Macaca fascicularis: one gene and its partners. The protein of the gene in region 1 interacts with the protein of each later gene in a pairwise test. Links are inferred from orthologs where the notes say so. Each region holds a gene or a part of one and is shown on either strand. Other genes may lie near its edges. The genes, in order: RAB2B, FAM114A1 and GARIN6.

What was found.
Region 2: the proteins of RAB2B (region 1) and FAM114A1 interact in binary tests that used the Homo sapiens proteins (3 or more experiments, as listed by UniProt). The two-hybrid records come from large-scale screens. The link is inferred for Macaca fascicularis from reciprocal best matches to the Homo sapiens genes RAB2B and FAM114A1.
Region 3: the proteins of RAB2B (region 1) and GARIN6 interact in binary tests that used the Homo sapiens proteins (3 or more experiments, as listed by UniProt). The two-hybrid records come from large-scale screens. The link is inferred for Macaca fascicularis from reciprocal best matches to the Homo sapiens genes RAB2B and GARIN6.

What each region holds. Positions count from the first base shown.
Region 1 is NC_088381.1:89,150,356-89,154,414, forward strand, and holds the start of RAB2B (ras-related protein Rab-2B), read right to left. Parts: upstream 2,801-4,059; 5' UTR 2,689-2,800; coding exon 2,643-2,688; intron 2,414-2,642; coding exon 2,342-2,413; intron 739-2,341; coding exon 671-738; intron 1-670. Other genes in the region: TOX4 (TOX high mobility group box family member 4), read left to right, coding at 3,087-3,092, 3,304-3,372. UniProt on the Homo sapiens protein: The small GTPases Rab are key regulators of intracellular membrane trafficking, from the formation of transport vesicles to their fusion with membranes. Rabs cycle between active GTP-bound and inactive GDP-bound states.
Region 2 is NC_088379.1:38,224,423-38,228,144, forward strand, and holds part of FAM114A1 (protein NOXP20), read left to right. Parts: intron 1-939; coding exon 940-1,101; intron 1,102-2,169; coding exon 2,170-2,309; intron 2,310-3,722. UniProt on the Homo sapiens protein: May play a role in neuronal cell development.
Region 3 is NC_088385.1:106,655,293-106,659,734, reverse strand, and holds GARIN6 (Golgi-associated RAB2 interactor protein 6), read right to left. Parts: upstream 3,010-4,442; 5' UTR 2,593-3,009; coding exon 1,978-2,592; intron 1,479-1,977; coding exon 1,368-1,478; 3' UTR 719-1,367; downstream 1-718.

The DNA of each region.
Region 1 (4,059 bases):
TACACATGGAATCATCAGTAATGATTCCCTTGCTAGAGTAGCAACCAAGACGGGGAAGGAGAAAGCGTTTATGTATAAAAAGGAGACATTTATTTTCCATGCTATAAATTTATAGTTTGATTTTATTTTTACTAAACTAATATATTACTTGGACAGTTTACAACACAAAGATATAGCATCCAGAATTTGTAACTGTAACAGATAGAATTAAAAGCTTCTCTATCTCGGCCGGGCGCGGTGGCTCAAGCCTGTAATCCCAGCACTTTGGGAGGCCGAGACGGGCGGATCACGAGGTCAGGAGATCGAGACCATCCTGGCTAACACGGTGAAACCCCGTCTCTACTAAAAAATACAAAAAACTAGCCGGGCGAAGTGGCTGGCGCCTGTAGTCCCAGCTACTTGGGAGGCTGAGGCAGGAGAATGGCGTGAACCCGGGAGGCGGAGCTTGCAGTGAGCTGAGATCCGGCCACTGCACTCCAGCCTGGGCGACAGAGCATGACTCCGTCTCAAAAAAAAAAAAAAAAAAAAAAGCTTCTCTATCTCTTTGATTTCACCTTTCCCCTATTTTATCCCCACTATTAGTCCCACCCTCATTGCCCCTTTCCTTTGCATTGGCTTTTCTTACTATACTTGGATGTTGGTCAGAGACTAAATTATTTTGTACTCTCACCGTATCCCAGATTTGCAGTTTGATTTGTTTTCCATCAATGTTGACCATACGAGCTCCAAACTCCACACCTGTTGGTAAAGACCAAGAGAAAGAATGTGATTCTCATGAACAGCAGCCATGTGGAGTGGGAGGAGGTTCCTGCCTTTCCTCAATGTGTTATACCCATCCTTTAGTCTGAACTCAATGCCACTAATTCCATTATTGCTGCCTATTTGCTCCAATTAACTTTGTGTTTCTCAAGGTTCTTCATTTCCCTTCTGGAATTAAAAAATTGTGCTCTAATGACCTCAGGAATGTAACCAAAAAGCACATATGGGAAAACAAAACCAATTAAGAAGTCAAATTTAAAAGGGTAATTTTTTAGCAATGTCAGTTAATGCTTAAATTTGATTAGGTAACATTTAGTTTTGTAACTTTTCCAAAAAACTCCTAAAAATTCTGGAAATGCTTCCTGACACTTTCTCGGTCACTCTCTAGTCTCTATTTAAAACAATATTTATTTTTTTGTAATTCCAGATTTTTTTCTTTAAGAAAAGAGCCTAAGAAATAGGTTCTCAGAAACAATACTTTTTTTTTTTTTTTTTTTGAGATGGAGTCTCTTGCTTTGTCACCCAGTCTGGAGTGCAGTGGTGCGTTCTCGGCTCACTACTGCCTCCACCTCCCGAGTTCAAGTGATTCTCCTGCCTCAGCCTCCCCAGTATGTACCTTACAGGCGCACGCCACAACGCCCACCTAATTTTTTTTTAACAATACATTTTATATCTCCAATAATTGCCAGAGGAACAATTAAGCATTCTTGCCTTGTTAAGCATTGTATCATTAGCCCCTATCACAAAGTAAGAATTCACTCAATATTCCCTTTAAAATACCTTTTGGTTGATACTGCCTTCTAAATCCTTTTCTAACCCCATCAATTATTTGACTCTAAATAAATCCGTTAGAACAGTGGTAGCTTCAGATTTCCACACAGGTGTGACTTGGAAGTAGCAATATTGTAAGAATGGGGATGTAGGAGTTTTATTTAGAAACTGCATTTGCATGGCAACAAAGCTAGTTTCATATATGTTGTTTATTTGGACTGGGGTTATGGAGATAATGAAGAGGGGGTAGCTAAAAGCCCCTTCAGGCTATGCCTTATCACAAATGTGTGGGAAATGTTAATATTTTCCAGGATCCCCAGTGGGTATGAGGAACTGTTTAACACACTGTTTTATTTAAAAGGAAAGTTTTTAGTTTTATTTGCCTATTAATTCTAAGGCAGGGATGACTCTTCAATTTGCTTCTTCACCAATATAAAAAATGTCCATGTATTGGTGTTTACTTTTTAAAAGTAAGGCTGGTATTAATTTACTGCAAAGCACAGATGAGTTTACAAATAAGCAGTTATGCTTTCGTGGGATTTTCCATAAACATAAAAAATTGTACTTGAAAAAAATTATATGACAAGTCTCTACCTCACACTCTAAAAAGTTACCTTTCAATTATATACTCTCCCTTACACTACTCGCCACATATCAACGTTTGATTAACCACTTCATTAACATAACTTTGGACTAGTTTAAAGTAGTGAGGGATAACTTTTTACTTTGAACACTGAAGGCTGCTAACTTTCCACTTTAGCAATTTAGCTAGTCAGGTTTTATCTGTTCTGGAACAAGTAGATGCACTTACCTATTGTGAGGTCGTGGACAGGCTGGAACCGCTTATCTGTAAACTGCAGGAGGAGACATGACTTCCCCACACCTGAAAGAGAAAACACGCTCCCAGAGTCACGTAGCGCTGGAACACTACCCGGACTCTGGACTTCCCGGACCAGAGAAGCGGGGGGTCCCCGAGCCCCGCCCCTGGCCGCCCCGAACCGCCCCGCCCGTCTCGAATCGCCCAGCCCACAAAGTGAGCCCCGCCCCCGCCACCCAATTTGGGAGCTTCGGACGTCCGCCCCAGCCTTGAAGGCGAACAACCTGAGGGTTACCTGTGTCTCCGATGATGATATACTTGAAGAGATAAGCATAAGTCATGATGTCGCGTCCTCTGGGTTCCGGGTCCGCCCGACTTCTACAGCCACTTACCTCCAACCTCTCTAGCCACTCAATCTACCGATCTTCTTCTTCCCGGCCGCCCACCCTCTCCGGCTCCTCTAGCCCAGATCACGTCTCTATTGCTCTCCCCAGAAATCCTCCTTAGGTCGGGAGTACCCAACGCCACCTCCAGGGACACCTCTAGTACTTCTACATGCCATTATCCCTCCAAGCTCCAGGGGGCGATAGGCCAGCGCCTGACTCGCTGCAGCCCCCACGGCGCTCCTTCCAATGAGCAGAGAGTAACGCACGTCCTTGCGGAAGTGACGGCAGTTCCGAGACCAGTGGGGGCGGTGGGAGCGATGAGGGTCTGAGACGGTGGGAGCGGTTGTGTGAAGATGGAGGTAGGAACCTGATAGCTAAGAAGGCTGGCGAGAGAACGCGGCCGACCGGGTTGAAGCAGAGACGGGAAGCCGGGTGGAAAGGCGACTGACGGGAGAGGAGAGAGAGCGGGGTTTGGGGAGTGTTGTCAGAATGTCGGGGTCAGAAGCCATCGCTCCAAGCTAATTCCCTGCTCCCCCTAACTTATCCCCGCGGCTTTCTTTTGGTTTCCAGTTTCCCGGAGGAAATGACAATTACCTGACTATCACAGGGCCTTCGCACCCCTTCCTGTCAGGGGCCGAGGTGAGCACGAGCTGCCGACGCCGCGGGGGGAGGGCCTGAGGCCGCGGTGGGGTAGGGTGGTGGGGAGGAGAGCACGCACTCCAGGGACGGGGGCTGGGAACCAAGGGCTGCAATTGGTGTTTAGAGAAAAGTGGCAGCTGCTTCTGGAGCCTATGGGGACTATCTGGGGAAGTCTTGGGAAGTTGCTGTCATCAGAAAAGCAAGCTATTGGAAAGAGATAACCTATTTAAAGAGAAAAGTGATTCTGGATTAGAAGACAGTGAAATTGTCTCCTTTCTCTGGGGAGAAATAACTACAGTAATCTTAAAGGATCGCAGTGGGAAGAAAATTTTTCAGCAGCTGAAGAAACTGGGGTGAGGGGAGGAGCTTACCTAGCAGAGGGTTGACCGTGGAACAGCATGTGTTCATTCCTGTAACGAACTCTGTTGAAGGGGTCTTTTTAAATTTGTTTCATTTATATTTCCTACTGGTTTTGTTTTGTTTTGAGACAGAGTCTCGCTTTGTCGCCCAGGCTGGAGTGCAGTGGTGCGATGTCGGCTCACTGCAACCTCCGCCTCCCGGGTTCAAGCGATTCTCCTGCCTCAGCCTCCCGAGTAGCTGGGATTACAGGCGTGTGCCACCATGCCCGGCTAATTTTGTATCTTTAGTGGAGATATAGTTTCACCATATTGGCCAGGCTGGTCTCAA
Region 2 (3,722 bases), on another chromosome or scaffold:
ATCTCTGATGGGGTCACTGATTCTGACAGGTCAGTGACTTGAACACAGTGGGAAATTGCCTCATTCATCTCCGTGCAGCACCTGCCACCGCTCAGAGGGGGCATGTGGTGGCTCTGAGATTCCACTGGCTTATTTGCTTAGGTTTAAGTCTTTGTCTCTAATAGGGGACACACTAAGGCCAGTTTTGTTGGGTTTTCTCTCCCCAGATCTTCTTGCTGTTAACTTACCATTCAACACTCTGATATTTTTAACTTTGGCGTGTAAGATTTAAGGTGGGAAGTAGGTTTAGTCTAAGCCCCAAAACAACTTTTACTTAAGCAAACAGCTTAAACTATAATGATAAAATTGGAGTGAGTCTGCCCTTTCGTTCTAAATTCAGGGAATAACAGGTAGGGGAGGAGGTTTCTGATTAATTGAACCATGATTTTGTAGGGCACAGAGTGCGTAAACTGCACTCGTGTGAAATTAGACACAGAGCAGCACCAGACCTTTCCAGCAGCCCTTCTCTTCTCCCCCTTGAGGGTGGAAGACCTGTCATGAATCAAGAAACGCAGAGCCTTTCTAACATATATTTTTAAAAGTACTATTATTCTTTTATAGATGGTCATGAAAAGTGAAAAATATACTATAGATTTTTCAATGTGACTGTCATTTTTATTCTTATCTGAATATCATTTTTAAATGCTTTTTAAAGAGTCCTCAGGCCTGCATTGTTCTTTCCATACTTTCTGTTCTGTCCCTTTTTTCTACTTTATATTTGCCAGAAAGCAACAACAAGGTTATCTTTTTAGGGGGTTGAGAAATTGCCCCGTCATCCTCCAAACATACGGAGATCCATTCCTGAAGGCTTAGAGACACTTGATTCTTGTCTTGGGGTTGGAATGACTTAGGTTCCATATTTGCACCATAAAAGGGTTGTTTGGTTGGGGACCTTTGCAGGCCATGAAGAAGGCTCATGACTGGGTGGAAGAGGATCAGACCGTGGTGTCAGTAGATGTGGCAAAAGAGTCCGAGGAGGAAACAAAGAAGAAAGAAAAGGAAGAGAAACCTCAAGACCCTCAAGAAGACAAAAAGGAGGAAAAGAGAACTAAGACCATAGAGGTAAATTTATTCTAGAGTGTCCACCTACAAGGTAATAAGAGTGTGTTCATTTTATTAGCAGCTTAATTTTAATTGAAGAGAGGCCATTTGTTTTTCATTTGTTCCATATTGTAGAAATATAAGTAGGAATGCAATAAACACTGAAATTTCTCTATGCCAAGATAATTCATGGTTTAACACAGATTTTGTCACTTTTCTCCATAGCTTTACAATTATAATTTAAAGGGACAAAAATCTTTAGGAACATAGTTGATTTATCTTTAGAGTAGAATTTCATCTTATATGCAAATGTGTTACTATAAAATGTCTTTATGCCCTGTAACTAATGAGGTAATTGAAGCCTTTAAAAAAATTCATTGCCATAGCTTTTATTCTGTAATTTAATAAATTTATGTGTGCATAATTTATTTCCTGCCTATGTTCAATAAAGGAGTTTGTAGTAACTTCATCTTACATTGAGTTTTAATTTTGAAGAAAGTAACTTTTTGGCTGAGTGCGGTCACTCGAGCCTGTAATCCCAGCACTTTGGGAGGCCAAGGCAGGTGGATCACCTGAGGTCAGGAGTTCAAGACCAGCCTGGACAACATGGTGAAACCCCGTCTGTACTAAATATACAAAATACTAAAAATAATTAGCAGGACATGGTGGTGTGTGCCTCTACTCTCAGCTACTTGGGAGAGTGAGTTATCAGAATCACTTAAACCCGGGAGGTAGAGGTTGCAGTGATTAGATCACTGTAAAGAAAAATATCCATTGAGCTCTGTTCATTCAGCCAGCCTTCCACACACCGTCTTTAGCACCTGCCTGTTTTGTACCCAGCATTGCTGTAAGCCCTGGGGATGCAGCTGTGAACAGACTTGCCACATCCCTGGGGGCCCTGACGGCACCTCCATTTTCTGGCAGCATTACACTTAAAGTCTTAGATATGCTCGTAGTCTTCAGGTTAACAATTTCATGTTATGTTTGTGGTATTTTTGAAAGAATTATATCACTTCTAATGTCACAGCATTTTTTAAAAAAAAACATCTGCTCAGTAAAAAATTTCTTCCTTGTGTTTATCTATTTCAGGAAGTATACATGTTGTCCATTGAAAGTCTGGCAGAGGTAACAGCGCGCTGTATTGAGCAGCTTCATAAAGTAGCAGAATTAATTCTTCATGGACAAGAAGAGGAAAAACCAGCTCAGGACCAAGCAAAAGTTCTAATAAAGTAAATAAATGTTACTTTAAATTATTATTTTCCCAGTTCTATATATAGGTACCGTTCAGAAACACACATACACACCCACACCCTCTAAGCCACTAAAAGGTTCAGATTTCTTTTTGTTTGCTTTTGTTTTTTGTTTTGTTGAGATGGGATCTTGCTCTATCACCCAGGCTGGAGTGCAATGGCATGATCATGATTCACTGCAGCCCCAAACTCTTGGGCTCACGCCACCCTCCCGCCTCAGCCTTCCCAGGAATTGGGACCACAGGTGCACACCACCACATCCAGCTAATTTTTTAATTAATTACAGAGACAAAGCCTAGCCGTGTTGCCCAGGCTGGTCTCGAACTCCTGAGCTCAAGCAATCTTCCTGGCTCAGCCTCCTAAAGTTCTATGATTACAGGCATGAGCAACCATACCTGACCAAATATTCAAATTTCAAGTGAACCAATTCCATTGTTCTATGGTCATCTTAAGAAATAAGGATTTCTTTTTTTTTTTTTTTTTTTTTTTTTTTTTGAGACAGAGTCTTGCTCTGTCACCAGGTTGGAGTGCAGTGCCACAATCTCAACTCTCTGCAACCTCAGCATCCCAGGTTCAAGCGATCTTCTGCCTCAGCCTCCTGAGTAGCTGGGATTCCAGGCGCACACCACCACACCCAGCTCATTTTTGTATTTTTAGTAGAGATGGGTTTTCACCATGTTGGCCAGGATGGTCTCCATCTCTTGACCTCATGATCTGCCCGCCTCAGCTTCCCAAAGTGCTGGGATTACAGGCATGAGCCACCATGCCCAGCCGGAAATAAGGATTTATTTAACAAATGCATTATGTTAGCAAGAAGAAGAAGACTTAACTAGCCATCCTAGGAATTATTTATGAAGAGATTTAAGGGAAAACACACTAAATCATTCAGAGGCATGAAAGTGCTTATTTAATAGATCAGAGTCTTAGAAGTAAAACCTTTTGAGGGTAATTACTTTTCCAACATATATATGAATAGAGAAAGGACACTTTAATGTAACTTCTAGCTAGAGTCACAAAATAGGCAAATATACTCCACTGATCCTGGGGACTTATACCAGCTCTCCATGTTCCGAACTCTGGTGATGATGGTCGCTAATATTAACCAGTTCACTTTTGGGTGGTATGTGTGCACATATGTGTTGTCCTGTATCATGTTCTTCAATAAATAATAGCTATTGTCATTAGTTTATTAAGTAAAATGCAAATATATATATATACGTAACACATGTGAATATGCAATCTAGTGAATATACATGAAAATAGTTGATATGGAGTATTCATGAAAATAGTTGGTATGGAGCTGAAAAATAAGCCTTTACCTTTTATGCACATGACTGTATACTGTGATATGGAAAATTAACGTAGGCCTAAGTACCCTCATGTTATTAGACA
Region 3 (4,442 bases), on another chromosome or scaffold:
CTCCAAGAATAGTAAAATTGGAGAGAATCAGCTAAAAGATGAGTGCTTTGAAATTGTCTTTCTGTTGTGACTAGATTGAAGTTTGTACAAATTCATGAAAATTTAGAATTCTAAATAATATCAGGGGATTAAAATTCTTGGGAAGATACTAAGAAGATTTACTGTAAATAGAGCTTTTATGGGACAATTGCAAAGCAGTTAATTAAGATTTAAGAAAGGAAATCAAGAGTGAAAAGACTGGGAAAATTAAGCCCTTTCTGGAAAGTATGATTAAACTCAGAATTTGTTTCTCAACACCACCATTTACACAGTGCCTACTATGTACCAGATATTATACATGTATAATCTCAAGGTGACCATTTAAAGAAACAGTCTACTAAAGGTCACAGTTAATGTGTGGCAATGCTATGATTCAAACCGGGAGCAAGAGAGAGAAAGAGAGAGGGAGACAGAGTGTGTGTGTGTTTCTGGGTTCTCATTTTATATTTTGGAAAATAGTTTTAGAAGAATTCTTCTGATGTAGGATCATATCTTTGAGAGTAATCTTCAACATTTTATTCTGTCATCTATTAATTTTATGTCATCTATTTATCTTTTATAATAAAAAATGTAAAGTTAAGGGAAAGTTAAAGATAGTTTTCAGAGCCTGATCATAAATTGCTATTAGTTTTATTGCTACCCTTCCTGTCAATAGAGCATATGTTATTAGAGCAGATAATATGAGTTGATGGATTTTATTATGGTGAATCATGTTCCTCCCCTCCACAGTCTTAGGTGAGATGTCCACCTCTGCACCATGTGTAGTACCAGACTTTGAGGTTATTACTGCAGAGTCAATCCAGCTAGGTAGAGACCCTCTGACTTCCATCCCATTCACTCATGTGGCCTCATCCTGCAGAGTTGAGATACTGACTCCCAATGCTGAGTGGCAGAGAGTCAGTCTTTGAGGAGCAGAGAGAGACTGACAAGGCTGTTGCATTGACAGTCTCTCTCTGCTCCTGTAGTCACCACATTCATGCTGCTCTCTAGGGAGAGGCCAGTAGCACTTACTGATGTACTTGAAGTACTCTTTTAGGACAAGAATGTCTATGCAGCCCTTGCTATAACAAGATTAAGACATAGAAGCACCCACGATAGCCATGCTGGCTATACTTCCTCCTGGACCTTTGAAGGCTGCTTTTGCCAGTGCTGTGTTTCTCTTCTGAGCCTGCAGACTTGGTTGCAGCCACATCCATGGCACCTGCGGTGGTGCTTACTGTCATCACTACTGTTGTTGCTAACCTGCCCCTTTATCAGGCACTATAGGTTTTATGACTGCAGGAATGTGTGAACTCTTGAATGTAGTATATGTGGGAGGTATGTTGGATTCATATCTCTATTGTATAATCATAATAGGTGGACCCAAACATTTCAGCATTCATGTGAAGTCTGCTGATTCTGAATTGCTCCTTCTCTTCACAGAACTTCATGGCATATCCCTAGGGAGAAAACAAATAAGCAAAGAAAGTGAGACCAGCAAGATCTCCTTTCTCTTCCTATAGGTAAACAACAAAAATAAAGTATTGCACATGTACACAAGCATGTTGTGTTGCCACCAATGTATATAAGTGGCAATCGCAGGGAGACATGTCCTACAACATATCAGCCTACCTAGGTCATAGTATGGGTTTCAGAATAGACTGGTCAGGATGTTTTGGATAGCATTACAACATTGGATATAGAATGAACAGCTGTGAATATAAAATGAAAAGTTGCTGACAGCTAAGAAATCTCTGAAATTCAGGTTTGGGGAACACTGGAGAAGCACTAGGAACCTCCTCAATGTGCCATGGCCTCCAAATGGAAGCTCATTTGGCCTTCAGACCTTCCAAATGCAATGCATTTCCCAGGTGAGCTGCAACACCAAAGGCTCTACAGGACCTTTACCTGCTCTCCCCAAAAGCATCCTGGCCCCATCTAGTCTCTGCATAGACTCACCACTGGGCTTCTCTGCACTTCCTCAAACACAGATGAGTCTGATGTGCTCCCAGCTAGGATAGCTTTGGTACCACTGTAAGCCTCCACTGGTGGTCTCAGGATGTAAACAAGGTTTTCCCAGTGAACAAAAAGGTCTTCACTTGCATCTGAGGGGGGACACAGCTGAAGATAAAAAGAGCGGCCAGTGGCAAGCTTCAGGTGGAGCTGTTTTTTTATGCTGTTGTGGATGGTTATTTTCACAAACATCAAGGGAAGCAGTCTGGTTAGTTCTAAGATCTCTGCAGGCGGACTATCTGTTTTCTGGGTGGCAGGACCACACCTGGCGTTGTCACAGACAGCAGCTGGTCGGGCCAGCAGCATGACATCAGGTAGTGTGAGGCAGGGGCTGGTGCGAACAATGCCCACTGTTACCATTCGGGCACGGTTGTGCACATCCATCACTTCTCCTCTTTTGCTGATCTGGATAAAGTCGCTCTCAAACATGGGTGCATACCTGAATATAGTATACTCGCCTTTGTACAGTTGCCGCTGAAGCTTCCCCATGGAGGTATTAAACATGCCCATTGCGGGGCTGCTTTGGGCAGTGTAATACGGTAACATACACTGCTCCTCCATGTCTTTCTTTTATCAAGACAGTTCCCAGCAGCTGCTCCACACCTTCCTTAACATGCCTTAGTGAGCATCCTGTTTCCTTGGCCACTCTGGCAGGTGGGCCAGCAGTTGTGTTCTACAGGCTTTCTTTTTTGTCCCCAAATGACTCAGAACAGGGTGGGGTATTGATTGCCAACTGCTCAATGCCAGAGACAGTTGGTCCCCTGGATCCAGACTGTGCCCTGTTTAGTGCATGGAGCTGTCAGGAGCGCAGATGTTGGAGCCCTCGTGGATATCCAGGCACACAGATGTCAGTGCTCATTTGGGAGGGACTTCCATTTGAGCCTGATATTCCACTTCACAACAACCTTTGCTCTTTGATTCCACAACCTGAACTGGCAGTCCCACTGCTCTTCTTCCCAACCTGAACCATCCGCTGCTGCTAAACCACCCTGCAGGACCACTTTTATCCTCCTCTACCCATTGTGACCTGCCCCATCACACACCCCTTTGTTTCTGTCACCCAACAGCCCCTACCTCAGGGCAGGGACACCACCCTCTCCACCCCACCCTCAGCCCCACCACTCTCCACAGCTCAGCAGACCACTCTCCCCGACCCTCCACCCATCTGGGGACCTTAATGCATTCTGGCAATTTGCTTTCAAAAAGATTAGAGGTAAATTTTCTGTGAGAAGCAAGACTTTAATATACATTCTCTGTCAACTCTTTTATCCAGCTCCTCTAGTCGTAGACATTTATTTTAAAGAGAGAATTGAATACATTGGTAAACACGTTAGTACAGGATGTTTATCAATGTTTATTGTAGAGTAAAAAATTGTAAACAGCATTAGTGTCTTACAATAGGGGATTGCTTAAATAAATTATGGAGCCTTCTGTGATGGGACAGTCTACAGCCCTAAAAATGATTATGTGGTTTTCCTATTTATTGACATGAAAAGATATCCCTAACCTTTTTTTTTTTCTTAAAGAAAAAGAGAAAAACTGATTTCAAACTCATAGTATAGGTGAGATTCAATTTATGTAAGACCATGTGTATGTGTTTGTGGGTATGGAATTATGTTCAGTGAAATGTTTAAAGTTCTTAGGTGTAACTTTCATTTTCTTTATAATTTCTATTTTTATTGGGAAGTTTATTTCTGTTACCAGGTAAAAAGCTATTTTATTAGCAATTTTTTTTTTCTGTTTCTACAGCCATGATAAATTTTATGTTTTGACTCACCCTCAAACTGTTGATGCAATTTTTAAGCTTTTACCTAGACATTTGTACCCTGGCTATGGAGTGAAAAGAGCCTTAAACATCACATTTATGCTCTATTCTTTACCATCAGATTGTATTGAAAAAAAAAGCTCTAAAGAATTTTGCCAGGTATTATAAATATTATCAATTTAATAAGATTATAATATCTTTATTGAAAACAATCCACATAATAACCCATATGAACATACACACACACACACACACACACACACACATATACACACACACAGCCATAGCCATAGTTGAGTCTTTTTTTTTTTTTGAGATGGAGTCTTACTCTGCCACCCAGACTAGAGTTAGTGGCGAGATCTTGGCTCACTGCAATCTCTGCCTCCTGGGTTCAAGTGATTCTCCTGCCTCAACCTTCTGAGTAACTGGGACTACAGGCACATGCCACCATGCCAGGCTAATTTGTATTTTTAGTAGAGACAGGGTTTTACCATATTGGGTTTTACCATATTGCCCAGGCTGGTCTTTTTTTTTTTTTTTTTTTTTTTTTGAGACGGAGTCTGGCTCTGTTGCCCAGGCTGGAGTGCAGTGGCCGGATCTCAGCTCACTGCAAGCCCCGCCTCCCGGGTTCACGCCATTCTCCTGC